Linked DNA regions of Arabidopsis thaliana. The protein of the gene in region 1 purifies or fractionates together with the protein of each later gene. This does not show direct contact. Each region holds a gene or a part of one and is shown in the gene's direction. Other genes may lie near its edges.

Evidence for each region. Proteins that work in one complex are often made in the same cells at the same time.
Region 2: the proteins of AT5G42740 (region 1) and IMD3 fractionate together in Arabidopsis thaliana (co-fractionation; one large-scale study listed by BioGRID). This does not show direct contact.

Annotation. Positions count from the first base shown.
Region 1 is NC_003076.8:17,133,887-17,141,667, forward strand, and holds AT5G42740 (Sugar isomerase (SIS) family protein), read left to right. Parts: upstream 1-1,774; 5' UTR 1,775-2,007; exon of another isoform or gene 2,008-2,191; 5' UTR 2,192-2,193; coding exon 2,194-2,247; intron 2,248-2,263; exon of another isoform or gene 2,264-2,340; coding exon 2,341-2,417; intron 2,418-2,574; coding exon 2,575-2,656; intron 2,657-2,739; coding exon 2,740-2,787; intron 2,788-2,971; coding exon 2,972-3,127; intron 3,128-3,208; coding exon 3,209-3,305; intron 3,306-3,403; coding exon 3,404-3,446; intron 3,447-3,723; coding exon 3,724-3,791; intron 3,792-3,882; coding exon 3,883-3,967; intron 3,968-4,147; coding exon 4,148-4,196; intron 4,197-4,473; coding exon 4,474-4,546; intron 4,547-4,622; coding exon 4,623-4,683; intron 4,684-4,965; coding exon 4,966-5,032; intron 5,033-5,229; coding exon 5,230-5,286; intron 5,287-5,375; coding exon 5,376-5,429; intron 5,430-5,547; coding exon 5,548-5,676; intron 5,677-5,791; coding exon 5,792-5,855; intron 5,856-5,947; coding exon 5,948-6,021; and 10 more.
Region 2 is NC_003070.9:11,141,961-11,146,763, reverse strand, and holds IMD3 (isopropylmalate dehydrogenase 3), read left to right. Parts: upstream 1-2,046; 5' UTR 2,047-2,101; coding exon 2,102-2,496; intron 2,497-2,565; coding exon 2,566-2,677; intron 2,678-2,748; coding exon 2,749-2,913; intron 2,914-2,987; coding exon 2,988-3,074; intron 3,075-3,153; coding exon 3,154-3,270; intron 3,271-3,366; coding exon 3,367-3,474; intron 3,475-3,558; coding exon 3,559-3,765; intron 3,766-3,852; coding exon 3,853-3,921; 3' UTR 3,922-4,303; downstream 4,304-4,803. Other genes in the region: IMPL1 (myo-inositol monophosphatase like 1), read right to left, coding at 1-62, 153-254, 341-553, 646-698, 764-821, 922-1,010, 1,109-1,242, 1,353-1,420 and 1 more.

The DNA of each region.
Region 1 (7,781 bases):
TTCAAAAGAGAAACCGTCATGGAGGATCCTAAATGTCCCAGGGAAACCACCCAAGTTAGCTTGGGGACATAGCACATGCGTTGTTGGAGGAACTAGAGTATTGGTCCTTGGTGGTCACAATGGTGAGGAATGGATACTCAATGAATTACATGAACTCTGCTTGGCTAGCTGGCAAGACTCGGATCTGTAAAGACTCTTTCCTTATTCATTTAGTTTGTGGTTATGTATCTGTCACATTCCAAACTCTTATGACAGAAGCGTGTGTACATAGTAAATTAGTGATTGTTGTACGCTTTAGATATTAATGTAATGATGTTAATGGTTTTGCTGTATGAGATCCTTCTATAATATACTTACTCCTTGTTACATGACCATGCAGCATTTGATTTTGACGTACCAAAAGGCTTCTCTGAAGCATGCGAACACATAACATCCAAAAGAGAAGCCACTGAGTTATGACATATGTCAACAAACCCAAAAGTAGAAATAATCACACACACCTCAAATAAATAGAATGAAGAAACCGAACAAGTAAAGTACACAAACTCCAATACAAAGCTAAAACCTATTTAATTTCATCAAAATACTAGTTCATCCAAAATGGCAAGTTCTTCATCCAAAATGACTGGTTTTTTTTATAAAAAAAATTCACTTAAGGATTCTACCACTGGACAGTAAAAAATGTAAAGACTCTACAAAAACTCTAAACTTTAAAATTTTCAAAATTTATTATTATACAAATGTAAGGATTCCTTTATAAGGACTTACCAATGGTCTTGCTCTTATATTCTAATTTTAATACAAAAGAATATCATTCACTTTTTTTTGTTACCTTATATTATGCTATTTTTGTTTGTTTATTATTATAAAATGTTAAATTTATTTATCATCAAAAAGAGAATATGTACAATGAAAGAGGACTGTCATAAGGCGGACTCAGTAAACTGTGCCTAGCCATGAATGTATTAGCAAGAGCTCCACGGCTCCGTCATCAGCTCCAGAATCTGACACAAGATCGGAGAAAAACTCAAATGCAGATGAAGGGTCAACGAGTCAGAACGACGTCGCTGCAGTAAACAAAGGAAAAGGGATATTGGGCCACTCACCTAACAAGCCCAATGTCAACTTAACTGAGAAGCCCAACAAATCTTCTTCATCTTCTCAACGGTCAAAACCACCTATGCAAGAGAACAAAGCCAGAGTAACGACAGAGAAGAGGAGCGTCTGTCGTACGCCTCCAATCAACACGGAGAACAGATTTGATTGTTTGATGATCTGCTAAGCATAACAAGATTGAGACATCTGTCAGTTTACAATAATTGAAACTCTAGCGTTGTTTAACTATAAAAGGAAACTTGTGATGTAACATAAAACTTAAGTGAAATAATAAGAAAGTAAAGTTCACTCAAAACATTACCTAAAATAGCCGTCTTGCTCTTAATTTCAGAATGGTTGTGAGTTTTCAAATAGATTAGAATTTAAATTGTCAATAAAAATTGTTAAAAATATTCCAAAAACTAGATTCCTTGATTTTAAAAAGAACCATATTCACAAAATCTTGAATGGGTAAAAAATAAGTTTTTCAAAAACAAAAACCAAAAACCATTACAAAAACTAGTAAACAATCAAAGCCTATATATAATAAAATATTATCCGCCGTATATGGCGAGTGAAATCAGTGTTCTAAGATGGTCTGAGAATCGTATTGGGCAAGTTATAAAATTCTCAAAAAATATTGACTTTGCCTTTTGTTTTTGATTTGTATTCCAGTGTATAGAAAATGAATAAACCAATTTCCTTAATCCAACTAAAACGCCACCGTTTTAACATTCTCTACCAACTTATTCCGTTCTATCGCGCGTGTTGCAGAGCAGAACCTTCCGTCAACACGTGTCATACCCTCAGCTCTCACACGCTTCTTCCCTATCGGAAACTTTCTCTCTTCTAGCTTTCTTCTTCTCACAATTCCGGAATCTTCTTCTTCACCTCATCTTCGAAGACCTTCAGGTTTTTGTTTTTGTTTTTGTTTTTGTTTCCTTCTCTTGATTAATCAAAACTGTGATACCAATTCAAGTTTTGTTCCGTTAAATCGCGATGAACGACGACTCTCGCGTTTCAAAATCAAATTGTTTTGAATCTGAATTTTTATTATTATTTGACTTTTTCGTTGTTGTTGATGATTGATTACTAGTAATGGCGTCATCAACCGCTTTGATTTGTGATACCGAAGCGTGGAAGGATTTGAAGGTAAAGTAGTCTTTAAGGATTTTCTCTTTTCTTAGTTTGTCAATGGTGGTTTGTGTAGAGAAGTGATTTGGGATTGTTTTGGTAATTTGGCAGGGACATGTAGAAGATATTAAGAAGACTCATTTGCGTGATTTGATGAGTGATGCTAATAGATGCCAGTCCATGATGATGTATGTCTTCTTTTCTACTTTGGCTCATATGTGCTATGTACATTATGTTTGTTGTTGAACTCGGTTGATTTTGTGTTTGTTTCTAGTTATTGTGCATTTACGAGTTTCTATTGCTCTGGTATTGAACTTGTTAATGTTATTGGTATGTTTTAATTAGGGAGTTTGATGGGTTGCTGTTGGATTATTCTCGACAGCGTGCAACTGTTGAGACAATGGACAAGCTTTTGAACTTGGCAAAGGTGAGGGTAGATGTTTATTGACAGATTTTAATAGAATTGCAACGAATTTCACTCGAATTTTGATAATTTGTTTCTATATGCAGGCTTCTCAATTGACAGAGAAGATCAGCCGCATGTTCAATGGGGAGCATGTAAGTATCCGCATGTTAATCTTACTTTGATTTGATCTTATGAAACTCTTTATCTAGTATTACATATTAGAGAATAGAGAATGCAAATGAATTGTAAGCGAATTATTCTCCATCTTCTTCGGTACTGAGACAGAAACATTTTCTATCATCTATGGTGTCTGATTTGTTTAAATGGCTTCCTCAGATTAACAGTACAGAGAACAGATCAGTTCTTCATGTTGCGCTCCGTGCTCCAAAGGATGCAGTTATCAAGGCTGATGGAATGAATGTGGTTCCAGAAGTGTGGAACGTTCTAGATAAGATCAAGGAATTTTCTGACAAAATTCGCTCTGGTTCATGGGTAAATTCTAGATGCCATTATAAAACCTACCTCTTTACGTTTTCATCTCCTTGTGTTGAGTTTTTTTGAACTAATTGACAGGTTGGAGCCACTGGCAAACCGCTGAAAGATGTCATTGCGATTGGTATTGGTGGTAGCTTCTTAGGTCCACTGTTTGTCCACACGGCTCTCCAAACAGGTGGGCTGCATCTAGTCTTGGTACCTTGCCTCTTGCTGGTGTTCTTTCTAGCTTGTTTTGATTCAAATTTTTGCTTTTATATGCATTTTCATTCCCAGATCCTGAAGCTCTAGAGTCTGCTAAAGGACGCCAGCTGCGATTGTAAGCACAGCATTCCTGTAGTTATGTAGTCTTTTTCTGTGTTTCTGTTCGCAATGCTTTGGTAGAATGAATGAGCTTCTTGAAGTTTCTCCTGAAGGTCCATGAATTCTTTCTTTACCATTATTGTCATAGACACTGCATACTCCTTGTTTGTCTAAATTTCATTTAACCTAGGAAGAGGAGGCTGTATTGAACTTGTTAGCTTCTAGTTATTCCTTTTGGATTTCATTCATGTGGATGCCTTGCTTGGAATTAATTTTTGTTTCTTTTTGTGCAGTCTTGCAAATATTGATCCTGTTGATGTTGCTAGAAATATCAGTGGACTAAATCCAGAAACTACTCTAGGTTCATGCTCAAACCTATCAACAAATTCACTTTCATAGTTTCCATTGACGGATTTTCACTCTGACTAATTCTGAGGATACTTGTAATCCAGTTGTGGTGGTCTCGAAAACGTTTACAACAGCTGAAACAATGCTTAACGCCAGAACATTGAGGGAATGGATAACAGCTGCTCTTGGGTTGGTATTTCTGGCATCTTAATCTTACTTTGTTAGAAAATTACAATTATCGCCAGAGGAAAGCTTTTATGCTTGTACATTTACAATTATTATTTTTTTCAAAATATAATTTGTGTTATTCTACCATATTTTGGTTATCGTGGATGAACATCACTCATTTAACATGTGATAACTTAACAGGGCTTCAGCTGTTGCAAAACATATGGTTGCTGTCAGCACTAATCTTGCGGTATGCATTTGCTAGAGTTTCTTTTGGGGACTTTGTTTCCTTATTGTCCATCTTAGTAAACTTAAACTTCGAAACACATGCACTCGAGTCGTTCTGATTATGTAGAACAGATGACATGTTGATCCAGTCTTTTTAGAAACTGAATTATCGAACAGATTTAATGGACTATGGTAGTCTCGATGTTCTAGGAATTATGATTTATTTCGACCTCCTTCTACATATTTCATATTCAGACAGTACAGGAAAGTGTATAAACTATGGATGTTTTGTTTAACAGTTAGTAGAGAAGTTTGGTATTGACCCGAACAATGCATTTGCATTTTGGGACTGGGTTGGTGGAAGGTACAGTGGTAAGTTCTTGTCTCTTTGGTTGGATTCATTTCTCACCCATATCCACTTAATCTTTATCCGAATTTTTTGTTGCAGTTTGCAGTGCGGTTGGAGTCTTACCTTTGTCTCTGCAGTATGGCTTCTCCATGGTTGAGAAGTACGGTAGCTTCTATTTATTACCCTTCTCAGAGAATTTCTTAGGAATAGGAAGTAATGCATGTCTGTCTTGAGATATTTATCTGCATAAGTTTACAGATGTACTCGTTCTAACTATAAAATGTCAGGAAAGAAATTGATGTAAATTCTGTTTTTTTTTTTTTTTTTCTTTATCTGAATGATTTCTTCTTTTTTCTTGTACTTCCCTTTTATTTATTACCCTTCCCTATGTTTCTAAATCCACAATAGTGCAGTCGATATTCAGTCTTTTTTTGGATGGTAGGTTTTTGAAGGGAGCTTCAAGCATTGATCAGCATTTCCAGTCCACACCGTTCGAGAAGAATATACCTGTGAGTGCTTTATTTTGATAATCACTAAGAGTAACCTGAAGTCATCATTTAACAAAGAATTACTCTTCCAAGAAGTTGCTTATACTCAGGATAGCAAGCATTTACATTAACTCTCCATAGGGATTTCTGTAAGTTAGTTTAATTAGTGTAGTCACGCCGGAGTGAGAGGTTGATTTGGTGACTTTTGACGATTTCAGGTGCTTTTAGGGTTGTTGAGTGTATGGAATGTATCATTTCTTGGATATCCTGCTAGGGTAAGAATCGACTCCTTTATCAGAAAGCTGAAGTTTTCATCTCAGTTTAAGATATTCAGCCTCCATCAACATCTTTTTTGTTTTCTCAGGCCATCTTACCTTATTCGCAAGCCCTTGAGAAATTTGCTCCACACATTCAACAGGTATGTGAACTGGGTTTCCCTTTTGTCTCCTTAATCTTTGCTTCTTCATATCTATTTTTGACATAAAAGTCTTAAAATTGTTTACGGGAATATTAACGGAGCAATTGGTTGATCTCAGGTTAGTATGGAGAGTAATGGAAAGGGAGTCTCAATTGATGGTCTACCTCTCCCGTTCGAGACTGGTGAGATTGATTTTGGTGAACCTGGAACAAATGGTCAACACAGCTTTTACCAACTCATTCACCAGGTACTTGCTACCTATAATTTGAGTTTACTGGAAATTTGGATCTAGATTTTAGCAAGTTCTCATCACATGATAAGCTAATGAGGAAAGCACTAAATCTTTTGAAATGATGTTTTAGGGACGCGTAATCCCTTGTGATTTCATTGGCATTGTGAAGAGTCAGCAACCTGTGTACCTTAAGGGTAGGCTTCCATTCCTGCTACTGTTAATTTGACTTGAGCTGTTTTATGCATTCTCTTTCGAAAATAAGATAAGTTCTGCATTGGATTAACAGGAGAGGTGGTCAGTAACCACGACGAGCTCATGTCAAACTTTTTTGCACAGCCTGATGCTCTTGCATATGGAAAAGTAAGACATTACATTTGGTCATGGCAGTAAAGAGACTGATGCATTTACTAAGGTTCCATGCTGAAACAAACTCTTTGTTCTTTTACCTTCTGTAGACTCCTGAACAGCTGCAGAAAGAGAATGTTTCAGAAAATCTCATTCCCCATAAGGTAAAAACTTGTCTTGGATCGATGTTGAAAAAACAAAACTTCTATGTTTTTCAGTATATAAATGTGTTGGAGTAAACCTGTTGGTATCTTTCCACAGACATTCTCTGGAAATCGACCTTCTCTTAGCCTTCTACTTCCAGAATTGACTGCTTACAATGTTGGCCAGGTCTGTCTCTATCTCAGGGTTATCACTACCATCTTAAGATTGAGATGAGAGGATCACTGCGACAAAAGCTGACATTTTTGCATATGTTTTATTTTTCAGTTGTTGGCTATCTATGAACACAGAGTAGCAGTTCAAGGCTTTGTGTGGGGTATCAATTCGTTTGACCAGTGGGGCGTTGAGCTAGGAAAAGTTCTGGCTACTCAGGTCAGGAAACAGCTTCATTCATCACGCACTCAAGGAACCGCTCCCGAGGGATTCAATTACAGTACCACCACACTTTTGAAACGATATCTCGAGGTATGGCCGTGTAACGACTCTCACATTCTCAATCTTTGGTCATGGTTCTGATTAAAACATCTCTGAAATACTTTTCCAGACAAGTTCCGAGCCCCAGATGTGATGACCAAGCCCAAGTTTCTCTCCTTCGACCAAACGTGAACCATTTGAGCATTTTTCACCCTTGTTCTTCTTTTTTTCACTGTCCCTGATCAGAGTATACTTTATCGGCACTCATAAATTATCTAAAAATGGGTACTAATAATCCAAACCCCATAAAATCAGAATTGGGAGCATAATATCAGAGGAGCTTTTTTTCTCTAAATTATATGCACATAAAATGATTTAAGAATAGTCGGCAGCCTTTTCGTATCCGAAAATCAACGTCGAGTGACTATGTACTTCGATCGAGTGTTTTGATGCTTAACGTGTACGATCAAAAACTTAACATCCTTAAAAGAACGCACGACTTAGGATACTTTCTCTTATTGCTCATCAGAATTTCATAAACCATAGAAACAGCATTTTTCAAGCTTGCATGGCAATCCGGTTATTCCGAAAGATATTGTATCTGATTAATGATTATATACGTAACTATTCACTTTAGATTTTGTAGAATAGCATTCATGTACCTCTGTTTACGGTTATTGTATATAACATACCTCTTAAAACAAATCAATTGTCAGTGCCACAGTCAAAAGCAGACCACTAGTTAAAACAATTTTCCACCAAAGAAACCGTTGATACACTTTTGCGCCCAAGTCCTTACCCAACGTTAAACATTTTTTACCAAATAGTGGTTCAGAACAATATCGTGCACTCCAATGCATGGAAAGAAAGTGAGGTGATGACTTGGAGAGAAAGTGAGGTGATGACTTTTACAACTCTGGTTTGCCCATTAAACAACGATATTTTTCTTTTATATTTCGGAGAATGTTAGTTCACGACAATGAATGTCGGCGCATGACCCCATCTTCATGTGCACGAGTTGTGGTCAGTTAGGTCAATGATGTGATGTGACCATGCTTTTTGTGTCAGAAGTCATTTACTCTGGTGTGAAGCCGCCTCTAAAATTGGTAAAACGCTACTATAAAGTATCATAATGCTGCAACTTGTGATCCATGTTAACAACCCAAATGATAGTGTGACGTTTTCTATAAGAGGATCGA
Region 2 (4,803 bases), on another chromosome or scaffold:
AACGAGAAATCGATTCCTTTCGACTTCAAATTCTCAGTTGCGGGTGCAATTCTTTCCAGAAGCTACACCGATTAAACAAAAAATATGTGAGACCTGATCTCTAAGCACAACAGATTAAAAGCATTGATAAAAGTATGAACAGTTCATGAAACCTTGGGGTGAAGAACGCCGTTGGAGACCAAAACAGACCTATCAAACACAGAAAACTTCCCTCCGTCCATCCGAGTCACAGCTCCTCCAGCTTCCTCAACTATCTGTGTCCATTTTCTGACATGGATTAAGCTCTACAACTTAAGTACTTTAGTAAGAAAAAAACAACAAGAAGGATGAAGAAGACTACAAGAACACCAGCAGCCATGTCCCATGGCTTTAAACGGTACTCCCAATATGATTCCGCAATCCCAAGTGCAACATGACACATGTCAACTGCAGCAGCACCGAGTCTTCGCACTCCCCGACTCACATCAGTAAACTCTTTGAACAGTTCCATGTTAGTGCTCCATGCATCATCATGTTCATAACCAAACCCTGTGATAAGAAGTGCTCTCTCCACCTTCATTCAAACCCGAATAAATATCTAATAAACCAAAACCATTGAACACACCATGTCGAAACTTAAAATTGGATTCTTGATAAGTTACTTACAGCATCGGTCTTACTGACATGAATTTTTTGCCCGTTACACAATGCTCCACCACCTAAGAAGTGAACTAGTTAGACAAAATTTAGATATATAGCCAAACATAAGCTTGTCACATAGTACCTGCAGTTGCAGAAAAGGTTCGAGTGTTCCAGCACATCGGACCACCGACAAACTCTACCTGCATGATGAGATTTTGTTGTTAATCCTACTGACCAAAGAATCAGCAAATAGGAACTAACAAGCATTAGCTGGTTTGTGCAAGTATATATTGGATTTACCACAGAAGCAGCGGCGGGATTTCCACGATACAGAACACCGACGGAAACAGCAAAACTGGGATATCCATGAGCAAAATTTGTAGTTCCATCTATGCATAAAGGAATTAAGAGACTAATACTAAAAATCTCAGAGATTCCACACAAACACATGAAAAGAAAGCAATGAGATTTGTAAAGAGAGCTAAACCTAGAGGATCAATGCACCAGAGGTAATCAGAAGACGAATCGCCGATGATACCTCCTTCTTCACCAAGAATAAGATGATCACTAAAATTCTTCTTCACTACTTCCAAAATAGCAGCCTCGCTTGCTTTATCAGTACTGCAAATTCATCAAAAGTACTAAAACTTTAATAGCTTCAACCAATCAAGTCAACATGAACATAGTTAAAACCTCAAGCTAACAATTTTAAAAGGTGAAGAAGTCCTTACTCAGTTACTAAGTCACTGAGACCTTTATAAGTAATATTCCTTGGCTTATTTACAGCTTCCATAACCACCTAACAAACCAGATGATTCAATTCAAGTTAGTTTTGTTATTATTCTCCTTGTGCAGTTGTGCCCTACGAACCCAAGAACTTGATTCTAGTACCATTGAACACAATTTCAAGTCTCATCAAGAGTTTTTGTTTCCAATAAACATAAATTCAGATATTGTATTCTACAGACATGAAATTTCGAACCTCAGCGCCGGTTTTAGCGGCGAGTTCAACGACTTCAAGGAGGTGTGCCGGAGATATAGTTCCGGTGGTTTTAGCGCCGATTCTGGGATATCGCGTCTGATCAGAAACCTCAGACAGAACAGCTTTGGTTTGAAGTCTCGTTGTGGACTTGAAGCTATTAGACAAAATCCTCGTACACCGATATCGGAAAGTTCTGTTCACTGTCCGGCCTGAAATTGGGTTTTGCAGCGGAAGAGATGATCTGGGTAAGTGAGAGATTCTCAATGACATGTTTCCAGAGAATATTAGAGACCTTCCCATTGTTGGTGTCGCCGGAGAATTTTCGAATTTTTGTTGTTGTTCGGTTTTTGGTTTATATGAACGCGGCCAAGTGAACGGATGGTGGACATGAGAGAGTCCAAAAAGCTGATAGAACTTAAAATTGAAATTAATGAGAACATTGAACCAAAATCAGGTTAACAAATAACCAGAGATAACCGGTCTCTGTAGTATACTCAAATGGTTAGTTTTTGCCGATGGTGGTGCCCTAAACTCGAAAAAAAGATGGCGGCGTTTTTGCAAACTAACATCCGTCTGGAGATCATACCGGGAAGATACAGTTCTCTCACCGATCATAAGTTTCGTGCGCCGTATCGAATTAGGTGCGCCGCCGCTTCACCGGTGAAAAAACGGTATAACATCACTCTGCTTCCCGGCGATGGTATCGGTCCAGAAGTTATATCTGTTGCTAAGAATGTGCTTCAGAAAGCTGGATTTCTCCAAGGACTAGAGTTTGATTTCCAGGAGATGCCTTTCGGCGGAGCAGCTTTGGATTTGGTCGGAGTTCCATTGCCGGAGGAAACTTCCACTGCTGCTAAACAGTCTGATGCCATTCTTCTTGGAGCTATCGGAGGGTATGTGTAATGCGTGTGTGTGTTGTTTCTTCAGCAAATTTATTCTCTTTATGATGATTTTTTGTTCAGGTACAAATGGGACAAGAATGAGAAACATCTGAGACCTGAGATGGGTCTGCTTAACATTCGAAGAGATCTCAATGTCTTTGCTAATTTGAGACCTGCTACAGTTTTACCACAGGTATTGATTTGCTTATCACTTTGCTTTCTAGTTGTAAATATACTCAAATTTTTCTGTTTTTGCTTGTTCAGCTAGTTGATGCTTCCACACTGAAGAAAGAAGTAGCACAAGGTGTTGATATGATGATTGTAAGGGAGCTCACTGGAGGTATTTACTTTGGAGAGCCAAGAGGCATTACGATCAACGAAAATGGCGAAGAAGTCGGTTTTAATACAGAGATCTACGCTGCTCACGAGGTACTACTTACTCTTCACAATCTGCTGCTCTGTGACAATGTATGTGTATTAATGCATTGCTTTATCTTCTTCAGATTGACAGAATTGCTCGTGTTGCATTCGAGACTGCTAGGAAAAGGCGTGGCAAGCTGTGTTCTGTTGACAAAGCCAATGTCTTGGATGTATGTTTTGAATTGTTTTTCCACTCCACTCTTGTGTGTTTTTCGTTATACAATTATTTTTTTGTTTTGTTTCGTATAGGCATCAATATTGTGGAGGAAAAGAGTAACAGCTTTAGCCTCTGAATATCCAGATGTTGAACTATCACATATGTATGTCGATAATGCTGCGATGCAGCTTGTCCGTGACCCGAAACAGGTGATCTTCGCGCATATATAAAGCTTAGCCGTTGATTAAGCTAACACAGAAGTGGAACTTGTAGTACTCACGGCATTTTTAAAAACATTATTGCAGTTTGACACAATCGTCACCAATAACATTTTTGGTGATATATTGTCTGATGAAGCTTCAATGATCACTGGTAGCATTGGGATGCTTCCATCTGCAAGTCTTGGTGAATCGGTAAGTAAGACTAAATCTAATATTTCAAGGTTCCTCTGTTTATTATTATCATATATTGATTGTTAAACTTGTGATGAAAACTAGGGACCTGGACTCTTTGAACCTATACATGGTTCAGCACCAGATATAGCTGGACAAGACAAGGCAAACCCATTGGCCACCATTCTCAGTGCGGCGATGCTTCTCAAGTATGGACTTGGAGAAGAAAAGGCTGCAAAGATGATTGAAGACGCGGTCGTGGATGCTCTGAACAAAGGTTTCAGAACCGGAGACATCTACTCCCCCGGAAATGTATGTGTATGATGATTTCTGTCTTTTGTTTTGTATAAGTTAATGACAATATACTTAAAGAAGTCTTTTTGTGTTTTGAAAATGCAGAAACTGGTGGGATGCAAGGAAATGGGTGAGGAGGTTCTCAAATCAGTGGACTCCAAAGTTCCTGTTTAAGAAAAGTGTGTAGCCCTTGGTTTTACTGTTACTTTTTTGCTAATACATGTATTAGAAACTGTATTCTTGTAGCTTTTATAATAATAAAATATTTGGGATCGATTCTGCAATTCAAAGACAAAATTCTCCAAGAACATTTGACAAGTCTCCTGCCTCAGTACCTTGTTCTTGAAGATTGAGAAGTTCTCGCCAACTACAAAACTCAACATCTTCTTCAATCAATATTTGTTAAACGAATAAAGTTTCAAGAGAGACAAGAAACTATGTTTTTTAGCCGCTAGAGTATTACATTTTTCTACTGAAAAACCAAACTTATAAAACATAACATTTATAAATCCGAAAACAACTATCAATCATCAGGTTAGCCTTTGGATTCACGACGACTTATCAGATTTGCGTTCAGCGTCTGCGGCAGACTGCATTTGAGCTGCATATGGTAAGTTCCAGAGAACATCTTTAAAGGAAGTCTTGCAGAAGGTTCAAGCAAAACACATTTATTGGCGATTGAGATGGCAATTGGGTAAAGACTCCTGCGAGCTTGTTGTTAGGACCGTTGGACTTCCTATTTTCTGTCGACAGTCTTGGCTCCCAAATGACGTCTGCAAATACAACATTGCAGCAACAGCTATTAACAATGATGAAGATTTGCTTCTTTTCTTTACCCTATATGATACCATTTCGTTGAGAAGATAGGCCTCTCCTTTTTGTAGTAGGTACTGGTCCTATCAGAGATTCCAGAAGTATGAATCCAAAGTTGTACACATCGCCCTCTGTTTTAGCCATTTTCCTGCATAATTCCAAAGCTAAGAAACGTGATGAATCGAAATCGTCTGTGGCTTCCTTTAACTCTTCAAAAGAAAATGACCGGAATGAGGGCACACC